2 linked regions of the Callithrix jacchus genome follow. The protein of the gene in region 1 binds, or shares a complex with, the protein of each later gene. Links are inferred from orthologs where the notes say so. Each region holds a gene or a part of one and is shown on either strand. Other genes may lie near its edges. The genes, in order: PLXNB1 and ARHGEF12.

Region 1 (15,510 bases):
ACATTGGAGCCACTGCAAAGAATAGCAGCTATGACCACCCCTGGCACAAACAAGACCAACATGGCTCCTAAGGGACAAGGACCCTGCAGATGGTTTTATTTAGGGCCAAAAAGAGGCAGGGGATAGGAGTCCTCCTGGAATTCTATCAGTCTCTGCCTCTTCAAACGCTCAGTGAAGACCCCTGAGGGGAGGAGTGTCTGTGCCAGGCGGGAGGAAACGCTGAGGGTCGCTGGGTTATGGAGAGTAAGCAGAGGGCCAAAGGGATGAGCCCTCTGAAGGCCTCAAGGCTGAAGGGTCCTCCTCTCATCTGCCAGGCATAGCTGCCACCCTATCTCATCTGTTCCATGGGGGGCTGGACTTCTGCTGAGGCCGAGGGTGGTCTCAGTCAAGAGGGGTATCAACCCCCTGCCCTAGAAACCCAGCTAGCAACATGAGACCAGATAAGATGGTCTCCAAGCTTACCTCCAGCTACCAGTTAGGAAAAGCCATCTAAGACAGCCTTCATGCAGGCAGTCAGTTTAGGAGCCGGCCCCAGGAGGCCCTGATTTGGAAATCAACACAGAAACCCTAAGTCTGGGAACAGGACTATGGAAAATAGTCCTTGAGACCCCATCTGCCTACAGTTGCCTGTAATGATGTCATCCTTTCCTAGTCCCTTTCAAGACAAATAGAACATGAGTGGAGAAGTGGGGATACACAAACTGCAGATAAAGTGGGCCCCCTTGAAGAAACTGTGGACCCTCTATCTCGGTCACCAACCCTGCCCCAGATGCGGTTCTCACTTCCTTCACAGAAGCTGTGACCCCACCAGGCCCTGCTCAGGAGTCAAGGAGAGCCTCAGCCAGTCCTGCAGTCTGGGATATGTTGGGGAGACCATGAAACTCCCCCAGGGTACAGATACCACCTCCCACTGGTACCTGCCAGGCATAGCGGCCACCCTCCTAGTAGCGTGGGGCTGGGCCAGGCTCACACATCAGATTCTGCGCAGTGTTTTAGCCTTTAATTAAGAGCTGGGTCAATGGAGCCACCACTCTCCCCAAGACCCCCTGCAGCAGATGGCCCTCACCTTGGCTACCTGTGAGGCAGGGCAGCCCTGTGGCAGCCAGCCCTGCTGAGGGGTCTGTCTGCAGTGGCCTAGGAGAGGTGTTCATATCCTAGACCTAGAATGTGGCAGCAGCAACAAGGCCAGAGGCAGCTCAACTGAGGTCAGGGATGGTGGAGGAGGCACACAGGAAGCGTGGGGCTTTCCTCCTTCCTCTCTGAATCCCAGTGGGGCCAAGGCCAGTGTTCAGAAACAGTACAGTCTCCCCAGGGCCTGGAGGCTCTTCTGGCCACTCTCTGGAAGCCCTTAGTCCCCAGCTCCCTGCAGACCGATGTCACAGGGTCACTGGGTTTGGGAAGCAGGCTGGGTACCACCCCATGAGCCTTGAGGCCCTGGGCCTGGGAGGTGGGTCCAGCAGGCCTGAGGCCAGAGCCACCAGGAAACGGACGGGGAGTCACCTTCCACTAACTCTGCTTGTCAGTCACTACAGGCATCTAGGAGGGTGGCCTCTCCCACAAGCTTCCAGGGCTGCCCCAGCCAGGCTGAGGCAATAGCAGGTCATAGCTCCTGGGTCCCTATAGATCTGTGACCTTGTTTTCCACAGCAGCTGCTATCTGCTGGAGCCGATAGCCTAGCTGCATCTTCTGGGCTGTACCATCCTCCTCCAGGGCAGTGATGATCTGAAACAGAGACAGATGCCATCAGGGGAGACTTCTCTGGCCAACGTGTTTGCTGCAGAATTAAATGGGCCTCCTAAGACGCTGTAGCACGAGTGGGGTAGGAGGCCAAGAAACCCAGCTAGTCACTTCATGTACTTTCTGTGACCTCAGGGCCTCATCAGCGGGAGGGGTAATAACATCAAAGCCACATGGGGTTTCAGGATTAATAAGGTAGGAAATGAAGGACTTTACTTTGTACCGAGCCCCTCAGAAACCCTGCTGCAGCCATCCTGGCTCACTCACCCGCCATTCTGGCTCACCCACCCTCCAACCAACAGCATTTCCCAAGTTCCTGTCTGCCTAGTGCCAGACAAGGGACAGAGACCCAAGAATGACCAGACACCAAGAATGATCAGTATTCTATTGATCAAACACGAATCACAAATTGGGGGCTGCCACAAGGGGAACCGGTAGGAACTGGGAGGGCAGCAGCACTTGGGAAAACAGCCCTTGCCCACCATGTCTCCATGAAGGGACATGCCTGCATTATACCCTGCCTCCCCCACGCCCCATGCCATGGCCCACACCATGCCCAGGAAGGCTGTGGGTCATGAGGCAGGTTCCTCATCTCTGAGCAGCAACAGCCATGTTACTGGTGCCACACAAACATCTAAGTGGACTATTCCAACAGGCACCCAGTAGGTTCACTGGCAGGTGCTCAGATCTTCAGGCCCAGCCCAGGGATCCTCCACAAAGCTTCAGCAGCTCCATGGTACCCTCACAGCCCTGGTCCTGTGCCTGGACTCTCTCTTGGCAGCTCGTGCAGCCAAGCCAGGCCTGCACCTGCATATTGGCTGTGCCCAACATGCTGCCAACTCAGCAGATACACACCATCTCCAGGCCCTGGTAGACCCCTCAGCCCCACAACCATCAGCACCATGTCTTGCCGCCCTGCTGGGGAACTGGAATGGGGAGTGGTGGGATAGGTGAGAGCACAGCCAATACCAGGAAGCCTACCTGGAGAACACTTCCCAAACCATGAGAGGCCCAGCCCCTGGCTATGCTGTCCCTGCCAGAGCCTCTCAAGCCTCCTGAGAGGCCTTGGGTCAGCCTCCCGGTTGGGGCCAGGGCCTACCCACCTGGTCATAGTACTTGTTGATGTACTTGTAGAGTTCATGCAGGGCCACTCGTGCCCCAAGGTCTCCGGAGTAGTTCTAGGGAAGAGGCCAAATGAGAGATGAGAGAGATGAGGGTTGCAGCCAGCCACAGGAGGTGGCCCAGGACCCCAGGGAAGGGTTGGGGAGAAGGGGACCTCAGAGGTAGAGAAAGGGATGAGCCTTGCAGTGGGAAGCAAAGTCCCCTCCAAGGCTCAGGGACCCTGGGCCAGGCATTCCCAGCTGGGGACACAACAGGGCAGGGCAAGGGGGCCTCCTCAGTGGGAAGACAGCCCAGGTCTGCCTGCTTCAGCAAGGCCTAGGGTTTCCACTCTTGCCCCCTCAAGGTTCTAGCCCAGGCCCTCTGCCACCAGGTGACTTCAGAGCCAAGTGGCACAGATGCTGCTTGCAGGCTGATAGCCCGGCATGATTCTGCTCTGGTCTAACTCAAGCATTTCCTGAGGTTACTCTCAGGCCCCTCCATGAGGCCATCCTGAGCCTCAACTTCCTCACCTGGTCGATGGAGTTGGTGTCACCTAACCTGCGGAGTTCTTGTGAGGATCAAATAAGACAATCAAAGCACCCCATGAAGGGCTTCACACACAACACCCCAAAAGCACAGCTGCTATGAGTACTGTGGTTGTCATCATCATCATTTCAGAAACATTGTTCATAAACTCCCTGGAGTTACATTTTAGGGCTGTTTTAGGAGTGGGAGGGGTAGAGGGGACACCTATGCCACCAAGGGAGGCACAGCAGTGGGAAAACGCATGCAGGCAGACCCAGGCAGGCATGGGGCCGAATCCCAGCTACCTTGCAAATGCCTGGCTGAGTCAGGGTACATGGCAGCTGCCAGGACAAGACCCCTGCTTGCTCTGTGATGAGATGGTGGGGACCCTGGTCTTTCAGTGGCAGTTGGAACATTCTGCACTTATGTGTCCTGCCCCAACCAGTTCACAGGGCTGCTGAGGTTCCCAAGGGCTTCCCTGCAAAGGGGCAGTGTGAAGGGGACTGGACCATTGTGATGGGAAGCCTATGCCCAATCCAAGAAGCAGAGGGAGGCCTTACCCAGGACAGCTCAGCCAGGACAGAGTTCATCTCTTGGTCGCTGGCTGGGACAGTCTGTCTGATGTCTGCATAGTACCTGCCAGAGAGCCAGAACACAGCCGCTGCTGGGTAAACAAGCCCACTCCCCCAACCCCACCAAAGCCCACTCTCTGGGCCTCAGCTGCACACACCCTCCAACCTCTACCATCTCGCCCTCCAGTACCTTTCCACCATCCGCTTATACCGGGGGATGTCCCGCGCATACAGAAGTTTGTTGATCGGGGAGTCCTGGACACAGCAGGAGGACAGCAAAAGAGGAAGGAAGGAAGGAAGGAAGAATGAGGGCCCCTGTTCAGGTGATCAAATGTCCTAGGTTTCCCAGCACTGCTTCAGTTCAGAAAATGAGGAAGCCCCTGAGTCCCAGAAAACCAGGATAGGTGGTCACCCTAGCCTACTTCCTTCCACAGGAGCCTCCTCTGCTCCCTCCCCTCCATCAATATCCAGTCTCTGATGTCATCGGAAATCATTTCTAGCCTCCGTCTAGATCCAGCAAAAGGCAAGTACGCAGGGCAGGAAGCACACGGTTCACTCCGGGGATCATCATTTTACAAATAAGCAGACTGGCCATGCGCGGTGGCTCACGCCTATAATCCCAGCACTTTGGGAGGCAGAGGCGGGTGGATCACGAGGTCAAGAGATCAAGACCATCCTGGTCAACAAGGTGAAACCCCGTCTCTACCAAAAATACAAAAATTAGCTGGGCATGGTGGCGTGCGCCTATAGTCCCAGCTACACTCAGGAGACTGAGGCAGGAGAATTGCTTGAACCCAGGAGGGGGAGATTGCAGTGAGCCGAGATCATGCCATTGCAATCCAGCCTGGGTAACAAGAGTAAAACTCCATTTCAAAAAAAAATTAGCAAACTGAGACCCAGAACATTACCTATGGTACAGGAGTGAGATAGGTGGAGGGGACGCCCGTGCCACCAAGAGAGGCACAGAAATGGGAAGATGCATGCAGGCAGACCACCTCACTCCCCAGTGGCTGAGCTCAGATTTGAAGCAGGTCTGTCCAGTCAGTTTCCACCACTTTAACACACCCAGATATAGCCTCTACCACTGAACTGGGTTCAAGTCCCAGCAGCCATGGGCTCTGGGCAGCATACTTCTTTTTTTTGAGATGGAGTCTTGCTCTGTTGCCCAGGCCAGAGTACAGTGGCACGATCTCGGCTCACTGCAATCTCCGCCTCCTAGGTTCAAGTGATTCTCCTGTCTCAGCCTCCTGAGTAACTGGGACTACAGGCGCCCATCACCATATCTGGCTAATATTTGTATTTTTAATAGGGACGAGGTTTCACCATATTGGTCAAACTGGTCTCAAACTCCTAACCTCAGGTGATCTGCCTGCCTCGGCCTCCCAAAGTACTGGGATTACAGGCATGAGCTGCTGCACCCGGCTGGGCAGCATATTTCTATTCTCAGGACCTCTCCTCATCCTAGAGCTGCTGAGAAGGTGAGAAATATCTCGAGGTAACAGTGTCCCCTGTGAGCAGGGACCCAAGACCAGTTCCTCCGACGACCTGAGTCAGGATTCGTGCCTTCTCAACAACTCCCCATGGGGGGACCCCTTGGCACTCCTGATTCAGACTACTCCTGAGCTCCCCAGGAGCCATTTGCTGTTCTGCTGGAAAAGGGAGGTACTCGGAAGATCTGGCAAGAGTTCCGGCCACCACATGCGGTCCAGCTTGGAGGTGGCCCTCCAGGTCCTGGTGTGGCACTTTGGTTCTTAGCTCATTATAGGCATAATGGTGACAGCATGTGCAACAAAGATGGCTCCCAAAAGACAGTGCTTCCATTTTGGACAGAACTTTCCATTTCTGTTTTTGTTTTGAGACAGGGTCTCATGCTGTCACCCAGACTGAAGTGCAGTGGATGGCGCATTCATGGCTCACTGCAGCTTCAACCTCCCAGGCTCAAGCCATCCTTCCACCTCAGCCTCCCAAGTAGCTGGGACCACAGGTACACACCACCACTCCTGGCTGATTTTCGTATTTTTTGTAGAGATGAGGTTTGCCATGTGGCCCAGACTGATCTCAAACTCCTGAGCTCCTCAGGTGGTCCGCTCACCATAGCCTCCCAAAGTGCTGGGATTCTAGGCATGAGCCACCATACCCAGCTAATTTTGATTTTTCCCAGAGGGGTAGGAATGTACCTCTCAAGAGGTCCCAAGCCAACTGAGATTTGAGGGTCTATGCTAAGCAGAGCCCCACTCACGGACCTGCAGAGTCACATGAGGGCCCTGCCTGGGCACCTGAGCAGACACTCTGGGGACCTCATATGTCAGGGGACTCCCGGCCTTGACTGCTGTGACAACAGACTCCCAAACTCTGTGCTCCTGGATGGCTCAGACCACTCAGTCTTCTGTGCTTCCCAGCTCCCCTCCTCTCACGTCCCTCAAACCATGACGCCGGACTCTTTTCCCTACTTCCCCACTGGCAGGCAGACACCTCCAGCACCCTAAGAAATTAAACCCACCCAGCAGCCCGGAGCTGCTCCAGGATTGAATAATTCATGTCTGTACCTGGAAGCCCCACAAACACCAGACACCTCCTCCAAGTCTAACCTTACCATAGCCAGAGGCCCAGGAATATGTGACCCCTCCTTCTTCCTCATCCTCGACATCCGACCTTCAGCATCTGCCTGCCCTGCACCCTCCTGCTCAGCTTGAACCCAATCACTGCTTGTCAGGAAGACAGCACAGTGCCCTCTCGGGCCTCTCTCACTCAGCTCATCAATGCACAGCAGCCACAATGTTCCACTAAACTCTCAGGTCTGGCCACACTACTCCCCGTTCCCAGACCTTCTGTGGCTCCCACTGCCCCAGGAGTGATCCTGCCAAAGCCAGCCACACCAGGCTGCACTTGCTGCCCACAACTTTACCTATGAGTTGGCACACAATGCCCCTCCCTCCTCTTCCTCATCCCTTAAGACTGAGGCATTGCCACCTTCCAGGGAGCCCCTGGGACGAAGCCTTGGCCTGGGGATGTCAGACGTCTACCCCTTAACCTCTCTTTGAAATTCTCAGAAAAACCTGGAATCTGAGTACACACACAGCACTGTCCTCCCTCACCCATCTCCCTCCACGTCCATCCTAGACTCACTCACCCGGCCCAGCTTGTGGTCGGCCAGGGTGCAGGCATCCATGAAGGTCTGTGCAATGACAAGGAGCACCGCATCCATGTTATCAGATGTCTGCACGTCAAACACAAACTGCGGGTTTTTTATTATATTGATCCAGAATCTCAGAGGCAAGCTGTGGGTAGGGCAAGCATGGCCAATGAGTGTGCTGGGGAGGCAGAAGAGAAGACCCACACACACACCTCGAGCCCACCTGGCTCCACCCCACCTGTTGGTCTTCCAGATGTGGATGGTGTCCTGGTCGGAGATGCCATGCTGCTGGGCCTGCTCGTCCAGCAAGTCGAAGAAGTACTTAACAGCAAGAGGCACAGGTCGGCTGGTGCTGAGGATCACCTGGAACAGGTCATCCACGAACTTCTGCAGGGTACCCTGAGGGAAGGGGAAGCAGGGAGGTGCCGTCAGCAAGGTGGCCTCAGCAGCAGCCCAGACTCAGACACCCCCAGCACTGTGCCTGCGAGAGCCCCACACCACCCCCAAATCCCATGAGTGGCCCTGCTCCCCCTCAGCCAGGCCCCACCAACTTGGCAGCCCCCATCCCACCTTCATGGACAGCAGGCGGGTCAGGTAGATCTCAGGGATGGCCTTGGCACGCTCACGCTCCCCACCCCGAAGGCTGCCCCTCCGAGGCCTGGGTGGCTCTGGCTCATCACTTGGCTTCACCAGGTGCCAGGGCCGGATGCCCCCCTCATCTACATCCTCCAGCATTGGGGTCCCTGTGGCAAGAGCCCACAGCTGTAACCCCTCCCCAGGTGCCACCTCCCCAGGCCCCTGGGATCTTGCCAGGTCTCCCAGGGGTGGGGGCACCTGGTTGAGGGCTTCCCTGGGCAAAATGGAAATAGGCACAAGCCTGCCCTGAGGCCCAAAGGACCTTCCCCATGACTCAGGGCTGGGCACAGCAGGGGCAGAGGCTATGATGGGGACGGTACTCACGCTCTCCAGGGACATAATCCTGGTTTTCCCGAAGCACATGCTTGGTGAGGCAGGGAACAAGGGCCACAGTTGCTCCATCTGGGACCTGCTGAGCACAGCTGGTGATCCCTCCACCAGCCCCTCCCCACAAGTCCCTCCTCCAGCTCCCACCCCTCCCACCTTGTAATGCTGCAGCGTGTTCAGGCGCCTCCACAGACCCTGGACCTCAGAAGTGACATCTTCGTCAGAAAGAATGAGGTGCCCGGCCACTCCAGACCGCCACTCTGCAAGGGCAAGGCAGGACTGGGTGCAAGGTCGGCAGGATACCCTTCCCACAGTGAAGCCCACCTCTTCCTCCACAAGAACACCAGCCCCTCCAACATGGGGCAGCCTTACTCAACCTCTCCAAAGACCAAGAGCAGAGACCCCTCCCCAGGTGAGAGGCTATCCAACAAAGATGCTCCAGAGCTGGCTTCTGCCTGCCTCCCAGCGTCCTACCCACCCTGAGTGATGAGCTGTCCCTGCAGAGCAAGGCAATCCCAGGCCCAACATTGGCTCAGGTCCACAGGGGCCCTCCATGCCCTCACCAACATCCAGGGTGTGAGGGTCTGGCCGCTGGGTGAGAGGCACTCCTTTATAAAGCTGGTCCAGCATCTTCTCCTTGGCCTGGGAGATGGTGTCACAGTCCAGGACCTTCACGGGCACGCCCTGGGCCTCTCCTGCCCCAGGTCCCACAGCCAATAGCGCATTCAAGGTCTATGCAGGACACACAGAAGCCGTCAGGATTCATGAACACTCAGGATGACCAAGACACAGGCCAAGGGCAGGAACAACTCATGGGAGCCGCTGCCTCCGACCCCCACACACATTCCCTAACTCTCATCTCTTCAGCTGCCTGCCTTCCCCAGGGACAGCAGCTTCCTCCCCATTGTGACCCCAGCACCTAGCATAGTGCACTTATAAATGACTATGGGGTAAATGGCAGAAAAAAATGAGTGAGCACCAGTCCCCAGGTTCCTGGCTGAATGGGTCAGGCTGCAGGAGCTTTGGGATGCCTGCATGAGCAAATATTCCCATCCATCTGACAGGGGAGGAGCTCAGCAGGCCTGAATGGGCGTTTCCCACAGGAATCTTCGTGCATAACTAAGGAGAAAGCGAACCTGGAGAGAAGTGCTTGCCAGAGTGGGGCTGGCGTGGGGGGCAAGGCCGCATCCCTGGTAGGGCCAGGCAGACAGGGTCAGGCCCTAGCACAGCTCAAGCCCATGTCCAGGGCAGGGCTGGCTCCTCCCAAACCCTGGTTGTGGCTACCTGGGTTTCATCCTTAGCCTGGGGCACCCAGAGCCCTTATCATCAAGGTCTGCCCTAAGCTGCTATCCTGCTAAGCTAGTCTGACGGGCTGTCTCCAGCAGCCAGCCAGAGGTCAGCCCAGCTCTCCATCCAGGTACCCACATCAGAAGCTGGTGTTCAGACACCACACACCCACACACCCTCAACCCTCATCCTCACCTCACACTCACACTGCAGGCCACACACACACACACCCTCACCAGGGGAGAGTACTCCACACACATACGCACACCCTCACCAGGGGACGGTATGCCACACACACACACACACACGCACATCCTCACCAGGGGATGGTACTCCACACACACACACTCACACCCTCACCAGGGGACGGTACTCCACGTCCTCTCTGAGCAGGCGGTTGTCATTCAGGGTGTATTTGGCCTTGCCAGTCACACTGTCCACTGGCCCCTTGTCCACTTGATGCTTAATCCCTCGGAAGAGCATGTACAGAGGCTCCCCTACAGAGTCCTAGAGGAGTGCAGGCAGTTAGGGGCCCCCCGGCAGGTGGCAGAGGTTATGGGACATGACGCACACCGGGGAAGGGGACAGGACATGGGCTTTAGGGGACTGAGGACAGGCTAAGCAGGAGTCTCTGCTCTGGCACAAGTGTCCAAGCTGCATGGTAGTTAAGGGCTTAGAGGTCTGGAGGGCCTGACCCTCCATGGACGGGATCCCTGTCCACCTCTGCCCCTCACCCTCACAAAGGTGTAGAGGCAGATGGACATCCAGTTGGTGAGCAGCTTCTCCACCACGGTCTCTGTCCTGAGATGACAGGAAAGGGGAGTGCCAGGGTCAGCAGGCGGGACTGCGGGCCTCTCTATCCTGCAGACCCCCAGCCCGAGGCCCCATCCCAGCTCCAGCCGTCCAGGGCCCACCCAGCCCCACAGCCACACAGACCTGCGCAGCATCAGCTTGGGGTTCTTGGCCACATACTGGGCAACCAGGTCACTGAGCAGGGTGCGGAGGATGTCGGTGAAGTACTCAAGCTTCCCATGCAGTGCCACAGTGAGCAGCGATGCCACGTAGGCGCGGTCCCGAGCTGAGAAGGTGCGCTGGCTCTCCAGCGTGTGGATGAACTGCACTCAAAGAGGAATGGGAGAATGGAGTTAGGGGGACAGAGGCGTGGGCTCAGAAACCATGCCCTGGAGAAGGGGCAGAGCCAGGGCGGGCCAGGAAGGTGCAGGTGGGGGCACCTTGGTGAGGAAGAGCTTGCTGTTGAGCAGGTTAGAGAGTTGCCCCAGCCCTTGCTCCACGGTGGGCCGTCTGCTCTCAGGCACACCCAGGTCCCGGTGCAGGGGTGACTCGCGGTGCCCAGGGAAGAAGATCCTCTCCGCATACACCTTGTAGTCAAGAAAGGGGATGCCGCTGCCCAGGAGGTCACTGGTGAGATCGGTCATCTCGGTCATGAGGTCTGTTAAGCAGAAGAGGCCAGATTTGGGCACCAATCCCATGCGATGGGAGCAGGTTTGGACAGAGCCTGGAGAGCAGGGCCCATTCTCCTGGCCGCACCTGTGAATTCCTTCTTGCAGCGGTCACGCACGCTGCTCTCCAGATTCTCCAGCTGGATCTGAACCTTCTTATAGTCCCTCAGGGCCTGCTTGCTCTTCCTCCTGCTCAGCACCAGGGCCAGGAGGGGACAGCCGGATAAGGCCAAGACCCTCACTGGGTCGTACTGGCCCAGCCCTGCCTGACCTAGCCCCAGGCATACCATGGCTACATCCAGCACAGTCCAACCCAGCCATGCCAGCCAAGCCGAAGCCTAGCCCGATACAATTCAGCCTGTCCCCTCCCAAGCAAGTCACATACACCCATGCCCTGTCTAGCCCAGCACAGTTTCACCTAGAGATCAGCCAACCACAACCGGGCGGAATCTGTCCCACAACCTCTTTTAATAAATCAAGGTTTGTTAGAATGCAGCCACATTCGTGTGTTTATGCATCGCCCCAGCTGCTTGTGTGCCACAGTAGCAAAGTTGAGTTGCTGAGCAAAGACCACTTGGCCTGCAAAGCCTAAAATATTTATTCTCTAGCCATTTACAGAGAACGTTTGCTGACTTCTAGCCCAGTCTGTCCCTTCCCAGTCCAGCCAGATCCCATGACCCGCCCCAGCCCAGCCACATTTGGCTGCACCCACCTGTACATGAGGACAATGATGATGACACCCAGAGCCAGAAGAGAGGTGCCCACCCCCAAGCCCACCTGGGCTGCCACAGGAAAAGCCCCAGGGCTCTCGCCGTCATACTGCACGTGACCCAGGGAGAAGCGCAGGTTCCCCATCTGCACCTGTGTCGGGAGCCACCTGTGAGCGAGGGTTCAGCCCAGGTTAATGCCCGCCCGGCCAGGGACCTGCCCACTGACTGTGAACTCAGGCAAAGCGTCAGGTGCCTCTCGGAGGGCATGGTGCCGTGGCAGGGGCTGCTCCATGGGGGGCTCACAGTACAGGTGGTGCCGGGTCAGCGTCTTCACCACACAGGGGCCGTCCCCTATCATGGCCACCACCTCCTCCTTGGACATTGCAAGGTCCAGGTTCTCCCCCTGGAACAGAGGGTCACCAATCAGTCTCTCAGATCCTGTCCTCCCCAAATGGGAAGGACCCTGAGACCCACTCCCAACAGCAGGGCTGAGCTGACATCCTCTCAGCACCCTTCCCCTGTGTGCAGGCCAGTCACATGATGTCCTCCACGCTGATCCTCATCACCCTTCTCTGCCCTTCCCTATTCTTCTTTGCCAGAATGAAAAATCCGGAGAACATAAAGCTGTCTCCCAAATCTTGCCCAGTTACCTAACAAAGCCGGAGCCCCACTCTGTGTCTGATGGCTCACCAGGTAGGTAATGATGGTTGTATCTACCTGTGGTCTGTCCTCACGCCTATCTGCTGCCCGCTGTGTATGTCCAAGACATGTGACTAGCACACATCCATGTGAGCCAGGCTGCCAACAGGGCATCAGCCCAGTGGCCTGCGTGGACCACACCACCCAGCTACTGCACAGGCCGAACATATGAATGCAGTCATTCCAGAGCCTGCCATGGAACGCATCAGGACCCTGGCCACCAGCCAAGCAGTCAAGGCCATGCCAGATGCTAAGCTAGGCAACCCACCGCCAGCCCCGTCTGCCCCGCCACAGCAAGGACGAGGAGGCATGTCCATCCACCAGCCCCTGCTCTACTGTCTCAGCCTCTGCCACACACAGCAGTGCTATGCAGCCAAGGGAAAGGTCTCGGGGCCCTGCCAGGTCCAAGTAGAAGCAGTACCTCCACGGAGAACACACTCCCAGGCTTGTGCCGGAATGGCATGGTGGGGTCCTCAGGGTTGAGTGGCTGCAGGGTGGGGTCGGCTTCATAGGAGAAAGGTGTGGGGTTCAGTGTTGCAAAGTCAAAGACCAGGTTGTCAAGGATAAACTCCACCCGGACCCAGGGGTTCTCCGGCAGGCCCGGGAGGGCGGGTGTGCGGCACGTGATGAGCTGGGAAGAGTTGACGTGGCACAGCTCCTCAAACTGGAAGGAAGACAGGCAGGTTGATGAGGGGGCCAAGCAAAGACGGGAAGAGCCTCCTCTGGCCCCTGCTCTGGCTGTCCCCGGGGTGTGGTGTGGGGTGAGGGGAGAGTGTGGAGGTACCCAAAGGTGTCCTACATGCTGGCCACTGCAGGAGGGTCCCAGGGAACACGCTGTTTCAGGGACCAAGCGGCGCCTCCGTCCAAGCCCCTGGCTGGGCTGCAGCATTCTTGAAATGATGGTCACTCTAATTCTTGGCGTCTGCACCACATCCAGATTCTGGCCACGGACCCGTATCTCACGTCCTCCACTGAAACAGACCATGAGCCACTGATGGCTTACGTGAGCTGGACCTAAAGCACAGCCCAGCCCCAGCTAGGTCAGCTCAGCCCCGGCCCCAAACCACATGACCCCCGACCCCTACCAGCAGCATGGGATTCTCAGCACCCCAACATAAAGCCCTACAAACCCCCACAGGGTGGAGCCACAAAGATCTCCCTGCCACCTGCCATGCAGCCATGTCCTTGGCCCAGCACCTGAGGAAGCTCTTGGTGGGGCCAGCAGAGGTGATGTTGGGGTCGGAGGTGTACTTGAACTGGCCATGTTGAAGCCTCCTCTCCGTGGCCCCAAACCACACAGCCACAGGGAGTGTGGCAGGCGCAGGGTGTGGGCTGGTCTCACACCGCAGCTGTTCTGACTGCTGTTCCGACAACCTGGGAGGGGAGGTGGGAATGAATGGAGGGGTGCAGGCAGGGGAATCTCAGACCACTCAGGCCCCAGCTGTCCTCCCTCTAGCGCTGACTGCAGTCTCCACCAGGTGTCCCTGGAGGTGCACTCCCACGACAGCCAGCTAGGGAGGGTCTGGCCACTCTCAGAAGGAGCAGACTGGCCCTTTCCCCTTTCTGCTCTCCCCAGCATTCCAGCCTCCTCCATCTTCCCCCTGGAGCACATGGATTTTTTCAGGAAGAGGAAGTGGCCCTTACAAGTGACAAGGCTGGTCTCCAACCACCACTCGGATGTCCTCCAGCCGCCCAGTCAGGAGCTTGGAGCCATTCAGGGTGAGACAGGTGCCCCCAGCTCTGGGACCGCGGGCCGGGAAGATGGAATGGACCTTTGGGTCCTGTGGGAAGGACAGGGAGAGAGATGAGCATCAGACCAGAAACAGGGAGGTGGGGACCACCTGAGAGACAGGATGGCCCAGGGCTGGAAACCTCACCAAGGCATAGCCACATGGGTTGAGAGGAGCCGCCAGAGGGGGTGGTCCACTGGCAGCTGGGGGTAGCTCAGCAGTCAGGTACCTGGTAGGCAAAGTCGTGCTCTGAGACACCGCGTCCTCTTCCTGGCACCTCCACCGCTGCGGCACCGGCCACCTCCTCCCCACTGGCCCCGGTGATGCACACGAGGCTGTGGGCACAGGGCAGGCTATGGGGTGCCAGGCTGCACCGAGGGCCCCCCTCAAGCTTACCTGGTAGCCCCTCTCCCTGCCCCACTGTCAGGTGATTTTCCCCTCCCAATCCTCCACAAGATTAACAGAGACCCTCTCTCACTTTGAAGGAAATTCTTTATGACACATCAAAAGGCCTTGGTATCTGAGAATTAATATTTGTAGTTTTGATCATTTAAGTTCAACACCAGAGGCCCCCGACAAGGAATAATTTATCTGTGGCACAAATTTACAAAGGCGCCCTGTCAGCCTGGTTGTGGGGCGAGCTGCTGAGCTAGTGAGTGGGCACAGCCAGCTGCCCACGTCCTCTGCCATGTCACATTCACAGTACCCACTCAAAGCATGGTAGAAACTTGATTTATTCAGGAAAAAGAGTCCCTGAAAGCCTCTAGTTAGATAGAGGAATACACATGAAGGGAAAGTGAACTGTCTAAGAAAATGCTGGTTCTTAGCCAGAAAACAGAAGCTTGGGCAAATTAACTTCCAGAATGTCAAGCCTGCAGCAGCTCAACTCAGTGGCATTGTCACAGTTGTTTCGAACACTGGGAAGACTAGTGACATGTGAGCCACGCAGGGGAGGCTCTGGACAGAATATATATATGCTAATTGCTCCATAAATTGCTTTAGCCTTATGGTTTTGGAGCATTAGCAGTCTAGATAGTCACCTTAAGCTCTCGGTCATAACACATTCAAGGGAAACTCCACGCTCTAGCAGAGTGGTTCCTTGTTTCAAACACAGATTTGGGGCCCCACTGTGGGCCTCCTGAATCCAGATGTCTGAGGGGAGTTGGGATCTGCTCTGTGTTGGTTTGGGGCAGGGTCTGCAGGTTACTCTGATAGCCAGGTTTGGGCCCTGCTGCTCGTGAGCATCTCCTTAGGCGTGTCCTGCACGTACAACTTTGGGGCCTGCAACCACTGGCCAGGTTACCATAACCCAGAATCTCGGTGAGCAGTGAGCCCCAGGAATGCAGCAGGGGTCCCCAGAGGTGACAATGGAGCCTGGCCCTGAGGAGCCAGGCAGCCCAGGGCAATACCTGGGAAAGAAGAGGGAGCTGGCGAGAAGGCCAGCCCCTGAGCAGATCTGTGTGATCTGAGGGTGGTGCTGCCGAAGCTATTAATATATGCACAGTCCCTCAGAAGACCAGGGGAGCAGAGCCACCAGTCAGCTCTGGGCAGTAACAGGCCCAGGAAGGATTCCCCAGCAGCCCATGCCAAGAA
Region 2 (16,041 bases), on another chromosome or scaffold:
ATGAGCATGCTCTGCTGCTTGACACCTGTCAATCTATAGTACTAATCCCTCAAACTATCAGACGGTAAGAATTTACTATAAGAAGTCACACTTTCAGACTTTGTCTTTTAAAAATACTTAGTGAAACACTTGTAAGTGAAATTATGGTATCCAAAAACTGCTTCAAAAAAATCCAGTGAGAAGGGGGGAAAGAAAATCGATAAACCAAGATTGTCCATATATTGGTAACTGCTGAAGTAATGATGGGAACATGGAGGTGCATCATACCAGTCTCCATACTTTTGTATATGTTTGAATTTCCCACTAAAAAAAAAAAAAAGAAACTTTCATAGACTCCAAATAACCCATTTAACAAGCATTTACTGAGCTTATTGATGTAGACTTTATCATTATTCCAAATTATTTAACCTCCACTTTCCTTAAGAGGATTATACAGCCTTATCTGTAATCATGCAACTTGCAATGCCACCTGCAGAAAGACTATACATCCCTATCCCACTGACAGTGACCTCTGACCATATGACTTGCTTTGGCCACTGACATGTGAGCTGATGTGATATACACTATAACTGAGTGAAAGCTTTAAAAGCCACTGTATGTCTGCATCTGTTTTCTTGCTCTTTCCCTCATCCACAATAATGGCATATCCCAGACTGGGGATGCTCCTTGAGCCAGGGTTCCAAAATAAGACACGTGAAGCAATGCTGCAGTCAATCCACAGCAGACAAGGTGTAACATAAGCAAGAAGAAAAAAAGTGTTGTTAGCCATTCGATAGTGTTGCTATAGCAGCATAACCTAGCAAAAGCTGACAGATACACTTATTTTGGAGTAGGTACAAAAAATAAAATTAGAGGCTGGTATATTTTTTAAGTGTTTCAAAAGATAAAAAAAAAAATAACTACTGTTACCTGTGAGGACAGGATATGAGAACTAATAGGTGTGTAGGAATACTTTTTTATACCATTATATATGATTTGAATTTTCTGGGCATGTATGCATGTGTGTTTAACCTGAGCAGCAGCATCTGGGTAATCAGATCATTTGGGACATTTATTTTTCTTCCTTCTGCCTTTCAGTACTAAAAATAAAAATATAGTAAGGCAACCGAGAATTACTTAAAAATGAGTAAGAACTTGGCCGGGCATGGTGGCTCACCCCAGCACTTCGGGAGGCCAAGGCAGGCGGATCACAAGGTCAGGAGATCAAGACTATGCTGGCTAACATGGTGAAATCCCGTCTCTACTAAAAACACAAAAAATCAGCTGTGCATGGCAGGTGCCTGTAGCCTCAGCTACTTGGGAGGCTGACACAGAAGAATCACTTGAACGTGGGAGGTGAAGGTTGCAGTGAGCTGAGATAATGCCACTGCACTCCAGCCTGGGCGACACAGCGAGACTCCATCTCAAAAAAAAAAAGAGTAAGAACTATCCTTCTACCCTTGAAGAAATCAAGCATTAGCTAACAATTTAGCTTTAAATAAAGCCTCTCCCTGCCCCCATTCATTGTTAATTATTTTAAATGTCCAAGGCTAAACAATATATACATGTATTTAGGAGTATGTCACATGCATTTCTATCAGTTTGCTCACTTTCAGGTTTCAGCAAAGCAATACAGTATTTTGTATATGGATGGTACAGTCACTGATCTCAAAAGAAATTCTCACAAAAATTTCATTATTTTAGTATGCCAGTTAAATTGGCAAAGAAGTTTGCTCTAGTCAGGGGTGTCCAAGGGAGAGAGTACAGTCATGGGTTCTTAGTTTCTGTTTCTGGTTGGGCCAGTAAAGCCCCTTTCTCATCCCTTTTTTCTGTTTATCAGTAGAGACAGAAACTAAAAACCATGGCTTTAGGCTGCTGAAAGCCTAAAACAAAACAGAACAACAGCAGCAAAATAAGGCAGGTTGGACAAGCTTGCTAGGTGTTAAGTTTTGTAAACATGACCTAACCAGTACTAGAGACAAGGAATCTATTAAGGTAACTTTTTTGAGACGAACTCTCCCTTGGTCACCAGGCTGGAGTACAGTGGCGCGATCTTGGCTCACCACAACCTCCGACTCCCTGGTTCAAGTGATTCTCCTGCCTCAGCCTCCCGAATAGCTGGGATTACAGGCATGCGCCACCATGCCCAGCTAATTTTTGTATTTTTAATAGAGACGGGGTTTCACCATTTTGGCCAGGATGGTCTCAATCTCCTGACCTCATGATCCATCTGCCTCGGCCTCCCAAAGTGCTGGGATTACAGGTGTGAGCCACTGCACCTGGCCAAGGTAACTCTTACAGGGTAAAATTATAAAATAGTGTTGAGAGAAGGGTAAAAAGGGGAGAAATTCTAATCATGACTCTTGTGGTGATGAAACAACACTTGAATGGTTACAGAAATCAAGTTCAATAGAGTAACACTTTCCTACATGAACATGTTTTTACTTCAAGAGAGCAATATCTGAACATAGCAGTAACCTGCAAATGACTAAGAACATGTCTGCACTTTTCATCTTAGGATCTCAAAGCACTTCACAAACCTTAATTTAACCCTTATATCACCTGAGAGGTAGTGATAAAATAATACATCATTATAACCATCTATCCTGCCAATATAAAATATTTAAATACCTCTTCAGCAGCATTTGCCCTGAGAAGGTCTTGCTAAACAGCCAATAAAACAGGAAATAGGCTGACAGTGCATGGGCCACCAACAATCTCTGAAAAGATCAGACCTTCACCCACAAGAACCACTTCCGCTGGGTAAACCACAGAGACTGTACTGGGCAAACCACAACATACCAGCTTGTGTCTGGAACACAGGCAGATAACCCATCTGGAAGGATATGTCTAAGTACTTTCACAGGATTTCTTGTATATTAAATGTATTTGGGGTATCTATTACTCTTCTAGACAACATATAATCACTTTCTGCATTACAAGATCAATTTCAGGTATCACTCCTTCAGATGCTGATGAAGTCTCCAGTTTTTTTTTTTTGAAACGAATCTTGCTCTGTCATTCAGGTAGGAGAGTAGTGGTGCGATCCTGGCTAACTACCTCTGCCTCCCAAGTTCAAGCTATTCGCCTTCTCAGCCTCCTGAGTAGCTGGGATTACAGGCATGTGCCACCAGATCCAGTTCATTTTTGTATTTTTAGTAGACACAGGGTTTTGTCATGTTGGCCAGGCTGTTCTTAAACTCCTGACCTCAAGTGATCTGCCCACCTAAGCTTCCCAAAGTGCTGGGATGTACAGGCATGAGCCACCATGTTTGACCAGTTTTTCTGCAACAAAATAATCTGCATTTTTTTGAATCCACAAAAGACCTACAAAGTCCTCTTTGATCTTTTGAGCATATGAACATATGATCAGCATTTATACGTAAATGACAAAAACTGTAGTATCGCAGCAGTATCTTTAAATGACTCTAATGTGTTACATAACACCAAAAGAAAAAGCAGTGTGACAAGTAGCTAATTAAAAGCATTAACTAAAACCAGGGTTTCTTAGATACTTCCAATTTCTGCATGATTTGTTACTTGAAGTCCAAGACAGGAAACCTCCTTTTCATTGGCCATTAGATTTGCTTGTCTGTAGACACTGAGAACCACCCAGGGCTGTCATGTGACTATGATCTCGAAAACCTGGACCAGCATTTGAATCAGTAAAAGACCCTGTTTTGGTATGAATCTAAACTGCACTGGTGCATGCTAACTCAAGAGTGTATTTTTTCTTGTACTAAAAGTCAACAATACATGCTCACGTAACTTAGGCACAGCCTCTGACCAGGCGCTAGCTTCATAGGCTTCTCTTGGAGTTAGAAGGTGCCTTACAACTGTTTTTCCTATATGACTGTCTTGATGCTTCCAGATATTCTAAGTTGAAAAAGTAAAATGCTCTAAATTTGGCATGTTTGCAAATTTTAATATTACCAAAATACAAAATATTAATATTAGCAATATACGAAACAAGGACAATTTCAATAATCTGAAACTAAATTAGTACCAAGGAAAAAGGTCTAATAAAATATTCAAAAGGTCTACAGTCTTATAGATTTTTTAATAATATGCACTTTTTCTGTTACTGTGTCTTGTCATTATTAACAATTCTTGCAAATACAACAGCAAGAAAATAAAATATTTCAATTTTCACAACATCCATTTTGCTGAAGAAAAAAATACTGCTAAGCATTGCTATTTCACTAATATGTGAAAATAAGAGGTGACAAAACAATAAGGTAAAAATAAACCAAAACATTGGGTGAAATGGCCTACAATTAAGATAAGGGACTAAAAAACCACCAAAAAAAAATTAACAACTTCCTGATGTATTTCATCACATCGCAACAAGATGATTTTCAACCAACAGTGGCTAACATTATTTCTATACCCTACCCTTTTGTCATATAATTGATAACATTTGTTGACAGTACTCTTATTTGAAAGAATCACTTTGTAAAAAAGCCTTTTATAACATGAGTAATTGCTTAATTAGTTGGTGTTTGTATAAATGTGTTTGTTTCATTTGACTGTGACACATCTCATATCCATTCTATAGACTATCTAAAAAGTGAATCAAAATGACCTTGAGAATCTCTTTACCCACATTTTTGCACTAGGAGAGCAACTGAGAGAAAGCTAATAAAGTATTAAGAGAAACAAGTTGATTTTTAGACAATGGATCAACGGAAAGCATAAAACTTGGCTAAGCAAAGAGTAAGGGAAAGGGACCGGAAAGGATAATGAATAACCGTCTGAAACATTTAGAATCATACAAACATAAAATGGGAGGAGAGCATTGTTTAGCCTGGTACAGCAAGTACATACAAGTAACAGGACAACTTAAAAGAAAAGTTTGAGCTAAAGATCGGGAAAAACTTCCTGACGGCAAGATCTATCAGATTACCATACTCTTTAGTCTCCTTAGGAAATGACAAAAGCTTTCATCCTCAAGAGATATTTAAAATTAGAACGGGTAAGGTACTAGAAAGTATGCTGTAAGAGAAAACTTCAACTGACTTCATCAAGTTGGAGAGTTACTAAAGAAAAATAGTACAGAAAAATATAGTACAAGGACAGACAATAACTTAAAGCAAAACAAATGGGAGACTTAAAAGCCAGAAAATCTAGGTTAAAATCCTTGGTCTGTCCTTTCTAGTTTTATAATCTTGATTTAAACTGTATGAATTACCTTATAGCATGACAGAAACATGATCTGCCCTGTACCAAATTGAAAATATTGTAAATGTTAAAGAATTATACTATCACAGGATATCATTACATACATGATGCTATTTTACCAAAAGAAGGCAAAATTATAACTTTGTTGATTCAAACATTTTCATTCACATGGCACTATTTTGAAAACCTGTAATTATTAAAAGGAAAAGGAGCATGTCTTCAAATAAAGCTCAAGAACATTATCAAAACCAAGTTTTAACAGAAGACCAAAGGAAGTTAAGCTATTACTCCTGAGTATGTGTCATGGTCAATTTCTAGGAAACAAGCAATTACATAAGAAACATTGATAGCAATGAGACAACCATGATGCAAAAGAGTTCCTTCAGTTACCTCTGGGAACCGGTATGTCATCCTGCTGTTTCTGTGATCCCTATCAGTTTGGGAAGCAATTCATACCCAGTTCTGGATGTCATTTAGACCACATATGTACAACGAAATATTTTCCAACTGTCTTCCCTTGGAACTGCAATGCTCCACAGAAAAATAAGTAAAATTCACCATTTATGTATTCCATGAATGTTTGCCTCAAACTTCATTTTTTAAACTGAAAACTCAAACTTAATTTAAAAAAAAAAAAAAAAACCTGCCCAGCTTGGTGGCTCAAGCCTGTAATCCCAAGCACTCTGAAAGGCCAAGGCACACAGATCAGCTAAGGTCAGGAGTTCAAGACCACCCTGGCCAACATAGTGAAACCCCATCTCTACTAAAAGTACAAAAATCAGACAGGCATGGTGGCAGACGCCTGTAAACCCAGCTACTTGGGAGGCTGAGGCAGGAGAATCGCTTGAACTTGGGAGGCAGAGGATGCAGTGAGCCACGATCACACCACTGCACTCCAGCCTGGGTGACAGAGCAAGACTCAGTCTCAAAAAAAAAAAAAAAAAAAAAAAAAAAAAACCTACATCTCAATGGTATATACATGTTAACAACTGGAAACCACCAATGTGTTACGTGGTATTCCAAGGTTAACATATTTTTGTAAAGATTTCAAATAAAGCTTCTCTTGTGACCTCAATGAATATGAACATCATATAATATACCATTAATCAGGAAAGCTACAACTCTGTACTTTCAAAAAAAGTTACTTTAGGCTCTGCATGTTGACTCATGTAAAACTGTCCAAGTGACTGTACTATTGCATACCTTTATGACTCAAGATTTTATACGCAACTAAAGAGGCAAAGATAAAACTGAATACAAAACTAACACTGTGATCCTTAGCCCCCATTTCCATTTTCTATTTATTGACTGGCTGACTCTATGAGAAAAGTTTACAAATAATTTTACCTTACAGATATATGATTCATGCAATGTTGAAAATAACATGTAAACATGAGTAGTTCTTTTTTTTAGTCAAAAGCATTATATAGCAATTTTGCTGATGAAAGTATCATTAATGAAAACGCTAATTACTGGGTAGAGACACAATAAAGTCACAGGTTTCCACACTCATTTAAAAAATTTGCTTAAGTTAAATAGCTTAAAGCTGAATTTGGTACTTAAAAAATTATATCAAAAACCTATGTTTATCTATAAGTCAAAAACTACAAAATTCATAAGCCCTAGGCAAAACAAAATTCCATTTATTTCAAGGAAGACCCTTGTAATTTTCCTAACTGTACTGTCCCTGAAAATTCAATGTTATACACGTTGGCCTGAAATCATTTACTGAGTCTATTGAAAGAGCATTCTCTCCCTTCTACCTCTCAGAAGAAATTCCAATTGCTATTGAACCCCTAAATTCTCAGGGATACAAGAAGGACATGTTGGAGGATTGGAAACAATGAGGATATATTTTAATATTGAATAGAGCAACCAAAGCAGACTGAACAGCAGCAATCAGACATCTCTACCACTTGTCAAGTGCTCGTTCTCAACGATGAAAACTACGGACTCTAGGTTTCACAAATAAAAGCAAAAGACTGTTCATAAACTGCTTAGAATTTTTTTTAAAGCTGTTTGGATATACTACATAGAAGCAATAGCTACCATGAACATAGGTTGAGTTTTAAGTTTTAAAAAGAGTTCGAGTTTTAGGTTTTAAGAAAAGGGGGTACAGACTGGGGAGTAAAAGATGAAAAGAAAGAGAACAAGTGAATGTGTTGATTTAACTGCAAAATAATAACAGGATGTAAGAGAGTTCTGAGTATCCAAAGTGACCAATCAGAGCCTAAACATAGCTGAATTCCATCCCAGCCCCAGCACGTCCCTAACACAAGAATAAAACCCTTATCTTGTTCAGCCATGTGTCGCCTGCCACAAACTGCAAAACAGAACAACGCCCAAAACCATCTAGTCTGATTTCAACTGAGGACAGACAGACTCTGTAGTCAGAAGCACCACAATGAAAGAACTCTAACTCACACAGCTGGCCTGGTGGTTCTGCACACTCTACAAAACAAAGCCATACCACATACAGCACTTCAAACTTGAAAGGATCTCTATCTAAAAAGCTACACTGGCGCTGTTAATTTTCCAATAGTTCTAGAATCAGCAAAATATATCTACAGTACACTGGAGTTAGTGTAAAACTCTAACTTATCTCCAGTTAGTGTAAAACTAACTGGAGTTAGGGCTGAGAGAAAGCTAGAAACTATTCTCTGCTGATAACCTTGTTAAGACACCCTGGTATAGAAATAATATTAAACCAGTACCTCCAGATTTCACCTCTCTTAAGAGCAAATGGATGCTTTATATTTACAAAATGTATTTAAAGAAAAAGCAGTGGTCAAATAAGAATAATTCTTAATAATAAAAAAAGTAGTAAATCGACGAAACAGGTCTCAGCAGTGCTTACTAATTGGCTTTCCAAGGGTTTTTTCTTTTTTAAAAAAATATGTAAAATTAGGGAGCACCCAAACCAGTTCGAAAAACATTAATGCCCAAACCAATTTGTAGATTAATCTTACGATATTCATTTTGTAATCTCTTGTGCCTAGCACAGTGCCTGGCCACACACAAAAAAAAACAAACAAAAAAAAACAGGCTTCCAGTAATTTCATCCTTATTGAATGTTTATATGCCATCTAAGTTATAAAGAAGATACAAATCCCAAGATTCTATTTCCAAGATAATGTGAAGAAAAATCCCTGAGAAGCACTGCTGAAGAAAAATCATTACTTGAGGGCTTTTAAGTGATTTGTGTGTGGAATGAGTTCATTCTGTTTCTATAAATTAAACAGCTCAGTATCGCAATGAAAACCAACATTACATTAGTTCTTAGTAAGACCTCTTGTCTACAGGCTCAACAGAAAGACCAAGAATTGAATGAACCAGGAAAACAATTATCCCTACACCCGTGAAAGTGATTTCTCAGAAGAAAAAATACCCTGAAAGGAAAAAAATGGGGATAACAAGAAGACAGCAAGATAAGCACTGTCAATACTTAAGTGTATTCTTGCAAAAATTAAACATTATTTCATTGAAAATGAAAAGCCATTTTGAAAAATACACAGAGTAAATATAAATACTTTAAATATTTAACGGACTCTTTTAAGTGAACATTCATGTGACGCTGAAAAGCATCAACAGGAAGAGGAAGTTAGTTCTGTTTCTGGAGTAGCTGTTATGGTATGATAATGGAATTTGGCTCTTTAAAATCAACAAATGAGTCTTACAATTGGGTAAAATTCTTATTAGGAAATTAAACTACTTTGTGCAAAAGCACTATTGTTGCACTTTTCATCAAAGAGCTTTGGCACTCTAATTCAGTTACCTGATCTATTTTTTCATAATGTAATAGTTTGAAGACTGACTTAAAAATAAAGCAAGCTGACAAATTTGGGACTGGCATACAGTGTCATAATTAAATTGAGAAGTGAAATGTGGTGAAGAAATCAATATGCTTTTATCCCTTACCCTATGAGAAGAGTAACTCTTAGGAAAAGCAAACTGCACTTCAACCACACATGGTCTAGCTCAATTCGCCCCACACCAGCATGCAACATTGATAAGTGCTATAAAGGGCAGACACAGAATTCAACAAATTAAGCTGCACGCTTATACTGTGCTTATGGGTTTATATGTTTTAAACGCCAAGTGTCTCTGGAAGATGAAACCTTTAAATACAAGAATTAAAAGCAAACCCCATGATTTACCCTCATTTCTTCAGCTCCTGGACACTGTCTCCAGCAAGAACCTGTGATTTACTGGTAATGTCAACATTCTGGAAAGTTATTAGATAATAATTAAACACTGTGCAGGTCAACATCTAAAAGAGATCAGGTTCCCAGAGGACCATGCAGTAGGCTCAACATTACGTTCACAGGTAGAAATTCCTAAAATGTAATTGTCTTGAGAACTACTGCAGGACAGGGCTAAAACCGAAAAACAATACACCAATACCAAGCCGACTTCAGACAGCGACCTTCACCCCAAATGACCTTCTCTTCTGATTTCCAGATGAGTACACAACCCTAATGCACACTACAGGCGGAAAACCACAATCATGGCTTTACCGCCCCCTTCTCCGAGAATCGGGAGGGAAGTTTCTCTCCAGAAAAACTACATTTCCAAAAGCCAATCAACTGGCTAACTGGCAGCAACCCGGAGCTAACTGCACAGCTCCGAAACAACCCTCTCTCCTCTGCCTGTCAACTTCGCTGGCCAAAGGCAATCTGCAATCACCGACTCCGCTGCTAGGTCGGGCCCAATTCCGGGAGGCCGAGAGGAGGAATTCATACCAACCTGTCGGTGATAGTAGACTGTGTGCCACTCATTGGGGCCCTTGGCGAGAGATCCTCCTTTTATCCAACTTGCATTTTACAGTAACACCTCCTCCCCACCCCCAGTGCTCTGGGATCAGGCCCAACTCCGTCAGGGACGCAAAAGTCCAACTCAAAACTCCATTCAGTCATCTAGACCATCCGATTGGAAGAGGTCAAGGGATGCGGGTTGGAGCAAAACAAGTTATCTCCCAAAACAAACTGAGAAAGCCAGGGAGCGAGTCAGTCCAGAGCGAGTAGAGATAGTGAGAAATCCTCCAGGGGCACAAGGAGAAACTTCCTCAGAGAGAAGTCCGCGAGCCGTGGGAAGGGGACCCGGGACTCCCGCCGGGGCTGGGGCGGGATCAGCAGCTCAGGGACGGGTGTCGGCTCCTCCTCCGGAGTCTCGGGGCCTCGAACTCCCCGCCGCGGCAGGGCCGGGGCCCTCCCTCCCCGCTCTCTATCTGGGGCTGCCGGCTGCTCGTGGCCGCAGCGTCTGCCGCGTCTCCGGCCGTCCCGCGCCGGGCTCGCGCGGTTCCATGTCCCGGGCCCGGGGCTCTCCTCCTGTGGTCGCCGCCCCCACCAGGCTCCTGGCGCTGGGACGAGCCGCGGCCGCCGGGGGAGGGGTCCCGCGGCCCAAGGTGACAGGGACCCGGGTCTCTCAGCGCCGCGGACTGCTCCCCATCCCTTTGAGGCCCGGACTCTTCCGCAGTCGCCAGAGGCGGCGGCTCCTCCCCGACGCTCCCCGCGAGGGGCGGGAGATGCCCGTCCGGCCCGGCCTGGAAGCCCTGGCCCCGGAGGCGGAGGCGGCGGCAGCGGCGGCGGCGGCGACTCCCCGCGCAGGGCCGGCTCGCCGGGTTCTGGAGGCCCTCGCGGGCGCGCGCGCAGACGACGGAGAAGGCCGACGGCGGTGGGGGCCGCGCAACCACGGGCGCGCGCGCGGGTTCCGGTTCCGGTCCTGGCTTCCCGGCCCCGGCGGCGTCCAGCGCGAGCTCGCGCTTCCCGTCCCCCGCTGACTTTTTTGGCCCCCTCCTCTCAGACTTCGGGAAGCCGCCTCACCCGGGATCCCTCCGCCTGTCAGACTCGCTCTTTGGCCTCCGCGCGGACGCCTCCGCCGGAGCCCGGTTTGGGGGGAGCGGAAAAGTAGTCCTGCGGGGCGGAGGGAGGTGGGACCCGTGCGGCCTTGGGAGGCCCACCCACCTCCCGCGGCGCCCGGAGCCCTGAGTGCCGAGACCTGCCCCTTCGAGTCCAGTTTGTACTGAGTCGACTTTCACCACAGACCGCCGAGAGCGCCCCCCAGACCCCGTGGACATTGTGCCGGAGGCTCTTTGGAAATTACCGGACCGACTTGTCCTGGAAACATTTATTCCTTAAGGGAATGTACTCGGCGCTCCTGTTTCCTGGCTGCGCGTGATCTGCCTGTGCCGGGCCGGCACCCGCCGCTAGCGCTACTGGAGACCCCGCTCACCTGGGCACCTGTCGGCCCCGGCGGGAGAGCGCGGCGGGAGCGGGAGGCTCCGGGCTGCGGGGGAGCAGTTGGGGACTGCAGCCAGGGCTCCTCGGTATAAATATTGCTTTTAGGCTGTTTCTGACTTGGCAAAATGAAATGTGTTATTTGCCAAATTGAGAAAGCATGGTGCTTTCCATAGCGACTTAACAAGCGTGTTGTGGAAAGAAATGGGAGAAGAAAAAGAAGTATATTTATCCAATAAATAGCATTACGGTTCTCTGAAGGGTTCCCAGACGATTTTTCGTTTTTTTTCCCCTACTGGGTAGAGAGATGTAGATACTCATCTAATTTTATGATTGAATAATTCAGTATTATGGCAATTTAAGTACTACATACAATACAGTTCTTCAATTCTGCCTGCAAACGGCTAAAGTGGCTATTCCCTGTACCCAACTATTTTCAGACTTTTGAGCTTAGACCTCTATGTTGGTGGCAAGGGATTTCAGCCATTTTGTGGAATCCAAATAGCAAATCAATCTAATAAACAATGGATGTGGAGAGAGGAAACAATTACCTCCTAACAATACTGTCGCAAAAAGTCATTCTGAAACAGTTCATGCAAGGATCATTATCCCCGAATAGAGGCATGAGCTCAAGCTGACGTTAGTTAGAACGGGGTAAAAAAAAAAAAAAGCGGAAAAGATAAACAGAGGCCAGAGACGACTCTTTATTGCTTGATTTTTTAGGTTCAAGGCACAGCCAGCTAATTCTGTAATGTTTATTTTTGGAAAGAATAGAAGCAGATTAGCCAAGAGACTTTCCTAATGATGAAACCAAGACACATTGCCACCTGCTGGCGAATCCTAGCATAACGATTCTACCCTGAAGACTTAAAAATTGAGTGTTTACATGTAACTGGAATCCCATTCATTCATCTATCTGTCTGTCTATCTATCTATCTGTATGTCTATCTATCTGTATGTCTGTCTATCTATCTGTCTGTCTGTCTGTCTTTCTATCTATCTATCTATCTATCTATCTATCTATCTATCTATACATACATACACTGGCCAAAATGCAAACCTTATCACCAAATTTTAAAAAATCTTTCTTAAAAGTACTAAATATCTTATGCTCCCCTATTCTAACAATGTTACAGTGTAAGTATCAATTAATTGAACCCAATGACTCATCAAATCATGCATTTTAAAAATGAGTTCCCTTCTTCCTTTAATACTTTAAGGAAGCCTCAATACTTAAGCTTCAGGAATAAAACGAACTGGGAAAGTTTCCTAATTCACCTTCTCTTCCTTGCATACAAAACCTCTTGGCAAGTTGCTTTCAAGATCTTTCCAAACTTAAACAGACCCACGGTTCTAGCTGTGAGCAAAGAAGGCATTTTGCTGTGGGAAAGCTTCAGAAGATGGTAGGCAAAGGATTGAATTAAGCCAGTGGTTATTCATTCCAGAATTAATTTTTTTAAATGATGAAAATCTCTATAGTCGCCTACAAAGCATTAATGAAACAAAAAAAAAATACCTGAAATCCTCTTTAAAGCTGCTGGTAGCTCAACTGTTCTAGAGACTATAGGATGCCTTCAGAAAGTCAAGCCAGTCTACGGAGAACATACTCCTCAGGGCCAGTAGTGCTTTACCTAGAAAAATGACACTGATGACCCAATCCACTGGACATGCTCTTTGAGGAGGTTTCCCAATGGGCATTATTCTAAACTACATTCTTATCCTCTCGTCCATTCTTTCAACATGTTTATTAAGTATCTACTATGCATCCCAGACTGTTTTAGGCATTGGAAGTACTGTCCTCAAGACAGGGCCCCCAGCTGTCTTCAGATGATGTTTCTGATGTCAGCTCACTTGCACTACCACTTTAAATGCAAGTGTCCAAACAGGTGGCAGAACAAGAAACAAATTAAGGTTCTTCCTCTCTCTTTTGGCAGACTGTTTTCTGTATATCAATTGTTACCCCCCCCCAAAATAAAAAATATCGTGAATGATTGATAATGAACAGCAGATTAGAGATATTCACAAGTATGAATACAGGTCAACATTTCTACAGGTCAAAAGGCTTTTTTTTAACTTCTTGGCAAAACCACCGCAAAAATATAAAGACAGACTCTGGATTTATAAAAAGTTGTTTTACTTTTATAAAATTTAGTACAAATCTTATGGAAATATAAATCCTTCTTGAACAGTGTTAGTTATCATTACATAGTAATCCAGTGCAAATGAGTACTTCATTTTGTCCAAGTATACCACACATTAATTAGCCCTTCATTTACCTGTGGTTTCAAAACTGAGCATTATCTTAACTGCTGAGTCATCTTCAGTTCACATTGTTCTCTCAGAGGTTTTTTTCATAGTTATTAGTGACAACATCAAGAAAAGCTGAAATGAGGGATTCCCTTCCCCTTACCAATTATTCAGATTTCTCACCATTCAAAAAAACCTATATACATTCCAATGAAAGTGTCTCCAAACAGCAAGATCTGCAGTCCCTTCACTTCTGGGGAGTAAGAGAGAAAAAGAATTGGTACCAGATTAAGCCTGTTCATTTGTCTGGTATGGAACAGGTTGCACTGTGCCAAAATTCAAGAGCCAGCTTTTTTATTTTTTAAGCTCATGTGCCAAGCCACTCTTTTCTGCTAGGCTTTTGCTAAAATCAGCATTCCCCAGCATCCTACTTTGACTGCAATTTTGTTGGAAAGAAGCTCACCAGCATTTTAGGGGCACTCATGATAGAAAAAATAAAAAGTGGAGATTAAAAAAAAAGAGTGGAGATGCTGTCAGATTATCTCAATGACCAGCAAAACTCTTTCATATTATTTTGAAAGATCCACTGTTAACATGCTTTTAAAGTTACTGTTCCCTTAACAGTGATGACTTTACACCATTCCAACCACTCCCTCATGCTTGGTTTCTGTGGCCAAGACATCCATTTTCGAGACTCCTCATTACGTGAGATTACCAGTGGCCATGGAATGGACTGACACTTCCTACTGACCAGCCTTGGCTCCAGTAGCACCATATGCTTGCTCACCCACTGAGCTAGTCAAACATCATTGAACTAAATAACATGGTAAAAATAATCAATAAATACTTCATATTTCCATAAAAGCCCTATTTTAAAGACCTCCATTAATAAAATGCCACATAATGTCTCTATGAAATATATAACAGGGTATTTTATTCATTTACAATAGGTTTAAACTCAGACAAATAATAAACGAGTAACCTATCCAAATGATCTGGCAAGTGAGTAGCGAAATTAGTTAAAAGAACCCAGGAATTCTTGATTCTTAACCCCTTGTTCTAAGTTTATGTTCTTGCTTCTCTTGGAGACTGTCACACTAAGAATTATTATGTTTTTTCCTTTCAAGATTGACCTTGTCATATTAGTTTGTCCATAGAGTGGTACCTTTTTAATAGAAATAAGAAAAAGGGAAGAGTACTAAAAGGGAATGTATCTAAAATGAAAAAAAGAAATTAACCTCACCCCCCTGAGGCCAGTACATACTTTAAAGTCTTTGGTTCTAGTTTGCAATATGTACAGCAGAGCTGAAATCTAAACTGCCATCTCAAGCACAGTGGAATCCACATGGTAAATCCCTATGGAATTTAGTCATAGCCTCAAATGCCTAGGAGATTAATGCACAAAAGCCCTGAGAACTGGCATAGTTTTCCTGGTAGGGCAGAACTGTATAACAGAACTCAGTAAATCTCCCACACTTCATTCATCTCAAATCCAAAGCCCTAACTCTATAGGTTTTGTGCATCAAAGAGTTAACATAGCAGGCCTAAACTGCTATCCTTGGAGAGGCCTGATTACAGGGTTGGCCACTGGCCGGCATTTGGGAACTTAGATTTTGGAAGGGCTCCCACCATTAACTGATAAGACTGGTTTACTGTATCTGAACTGTTTATGCAAATAATATGGCTTATGCTGGACACCTGTTTTCCTTTTGAGAGTCTTGAATTTTGCTCCCCGCTAGAGAAAGGCTGCCTAGATGACCTGTCCCCAGTAAAAACTTTGGGCACTGAGTCTGTAATGACGTTCTCCCGTAGACAACCCATTCGCATGTCACAAATCATTGCTAGGGGAATTAAGCGTATCCTGTGTGATCCCACTGGGAGTGGACTCTGGAAGCTTGTGCCTAGTTTCCCGAGACTTTTTCTCAGGTGCCTTCTCCTTTTACGGATTTTTCTTTGTATTTTTCACTATAATAAATCAGAACTATGAGTAAGACTATATGCTGAGTCCTCTGAGTCCTCCCAGAGAATCACGTAACCTGACAGTGGTCTTGGGGACCTCTAGCACAGTTGGTATAGGAGGTTCAGTAAGTAACCCTCCTCCTCACTGCCAGTTTTACTCTCGCCCTCCTATCCCCCTCTGTTTAAGCAGAACTAATTCCCTGATCAAATGTTCAAAATGCCAAAGGCGTGTGTCTTCCTAAAAGCCCCTCACTTTATAGTAAATGGGGTAAACTTAGATAAATTGCTACATGGAAAGCAGAAATCAGTGTTTATTGAAAGAGTTACTTCTCAAAGGAACAAGAAATGGCACTAATCTTTCGAGTTCCTTTCTAAGCTGCCCGGACATCAAACCTCCCAGGGAAGGAGGACCCAGGGTCACCACAAATGAAAGCAAATG

What was found.
Region 2: the proteins of PLXNB1 (region 1) and ARHGEF12 are in contact, whole or in part, in an NMR structure (PDB 2OS6), measured with the Homo sapiens proteins. The link is inferred for Callithrix jacchus from reciprocal best matches to the Homo sapiens genes PLXNB1 and ARHGEF12. Residues at the interface, in NP_001123554.1 of Homo sapiens: Glu2129, Lys2131, Val2132, Thr2133, Asp2134, Leu2135; in NP_056128.1 of Homo sapiens: Phe82, Gly83, Leu84, Thr85, Val86, Ser87, Gly88, Asp89, His127, Val131, Lys135.

Annotation. Positions count from the first base shown.
Region 1 is NC_133516.1:31,046,994-31,062,503, forward strand, and holds part of PLXNB1 (plexin-B1), read right to left. Parts: intron 14,253-15,510; coding exon 14,147-14,252; intron 13,969-14,146; coding exon 13,832-13,968; intron 13,562-13,831; coding exon 13,385-13,561; intron 13,159-13,384; coding exon 12,972-13,158; intron 12,852-12,971; coding exon 12,609-12,851; intron 11,892-12,608; coding exon 11,715-11,891; intron 11,640-11,714; coding exon 11,491-11,639; intron 10,968-11,490; coding exon 10,867-10,967; intron 10,769-10,866; coding exon 10,551-10,768; intron 10,434-10,550; coding exon 10,255-10,433; intron 10,120-10,254; coding exon 10,053-10,119; intron 9,826-10,052; coding exon 9,679-9,825; intron 8,764-9,678; coding exon 8,595-8,763; intron 8,292-8,594; coding exon 8,188-8,291; intron 8,114-8,187; coding exon 8,029-8,113; intron 7,812-8,028; coding exon 7,639-7,811; intron 7,468-7,638; coding exon 7,307-7,467; intron 7,214-7,306; coding exon 7,066-7,213; intron 4,191-7,065; coding exon 4,126-4,190; intron 4,000-4,125; coding exon 3,924-3,999; and 7 more. UniProt on the Homo sapiens protein: Receptor for SEMA4D. Plays a role in GABAergic synapse development. Mediates SEMA4A- and SEMA4D-dependent inhibitory synapse development. Plays a role in RHOA activation and subsequent changes of the actin cytoskeleton.
Region 2 is NC_133511.1:19,978,844-19,994,884, reverse strand, and holds the start of ARHGEF12 (rho guanine nucleotide exchange factor 12), read right to left. Parts: upstream 10,817-16,041; 5' UTR 9,939-10,816; coding exon 9,907-9,938; intron 1-9,906. UniProt on the Homo sapiens protein: May play a role in the regulation of RhoA GTPase by guanine nucleotide-binding alpha-12 (GNA12) and alpha-13 (GNA13). Acts as guanine nucleotide exchange factor (GEF) for RhoA GTPase and may act as GTPase-activating protein (GAP) for GNA12 and GNA13.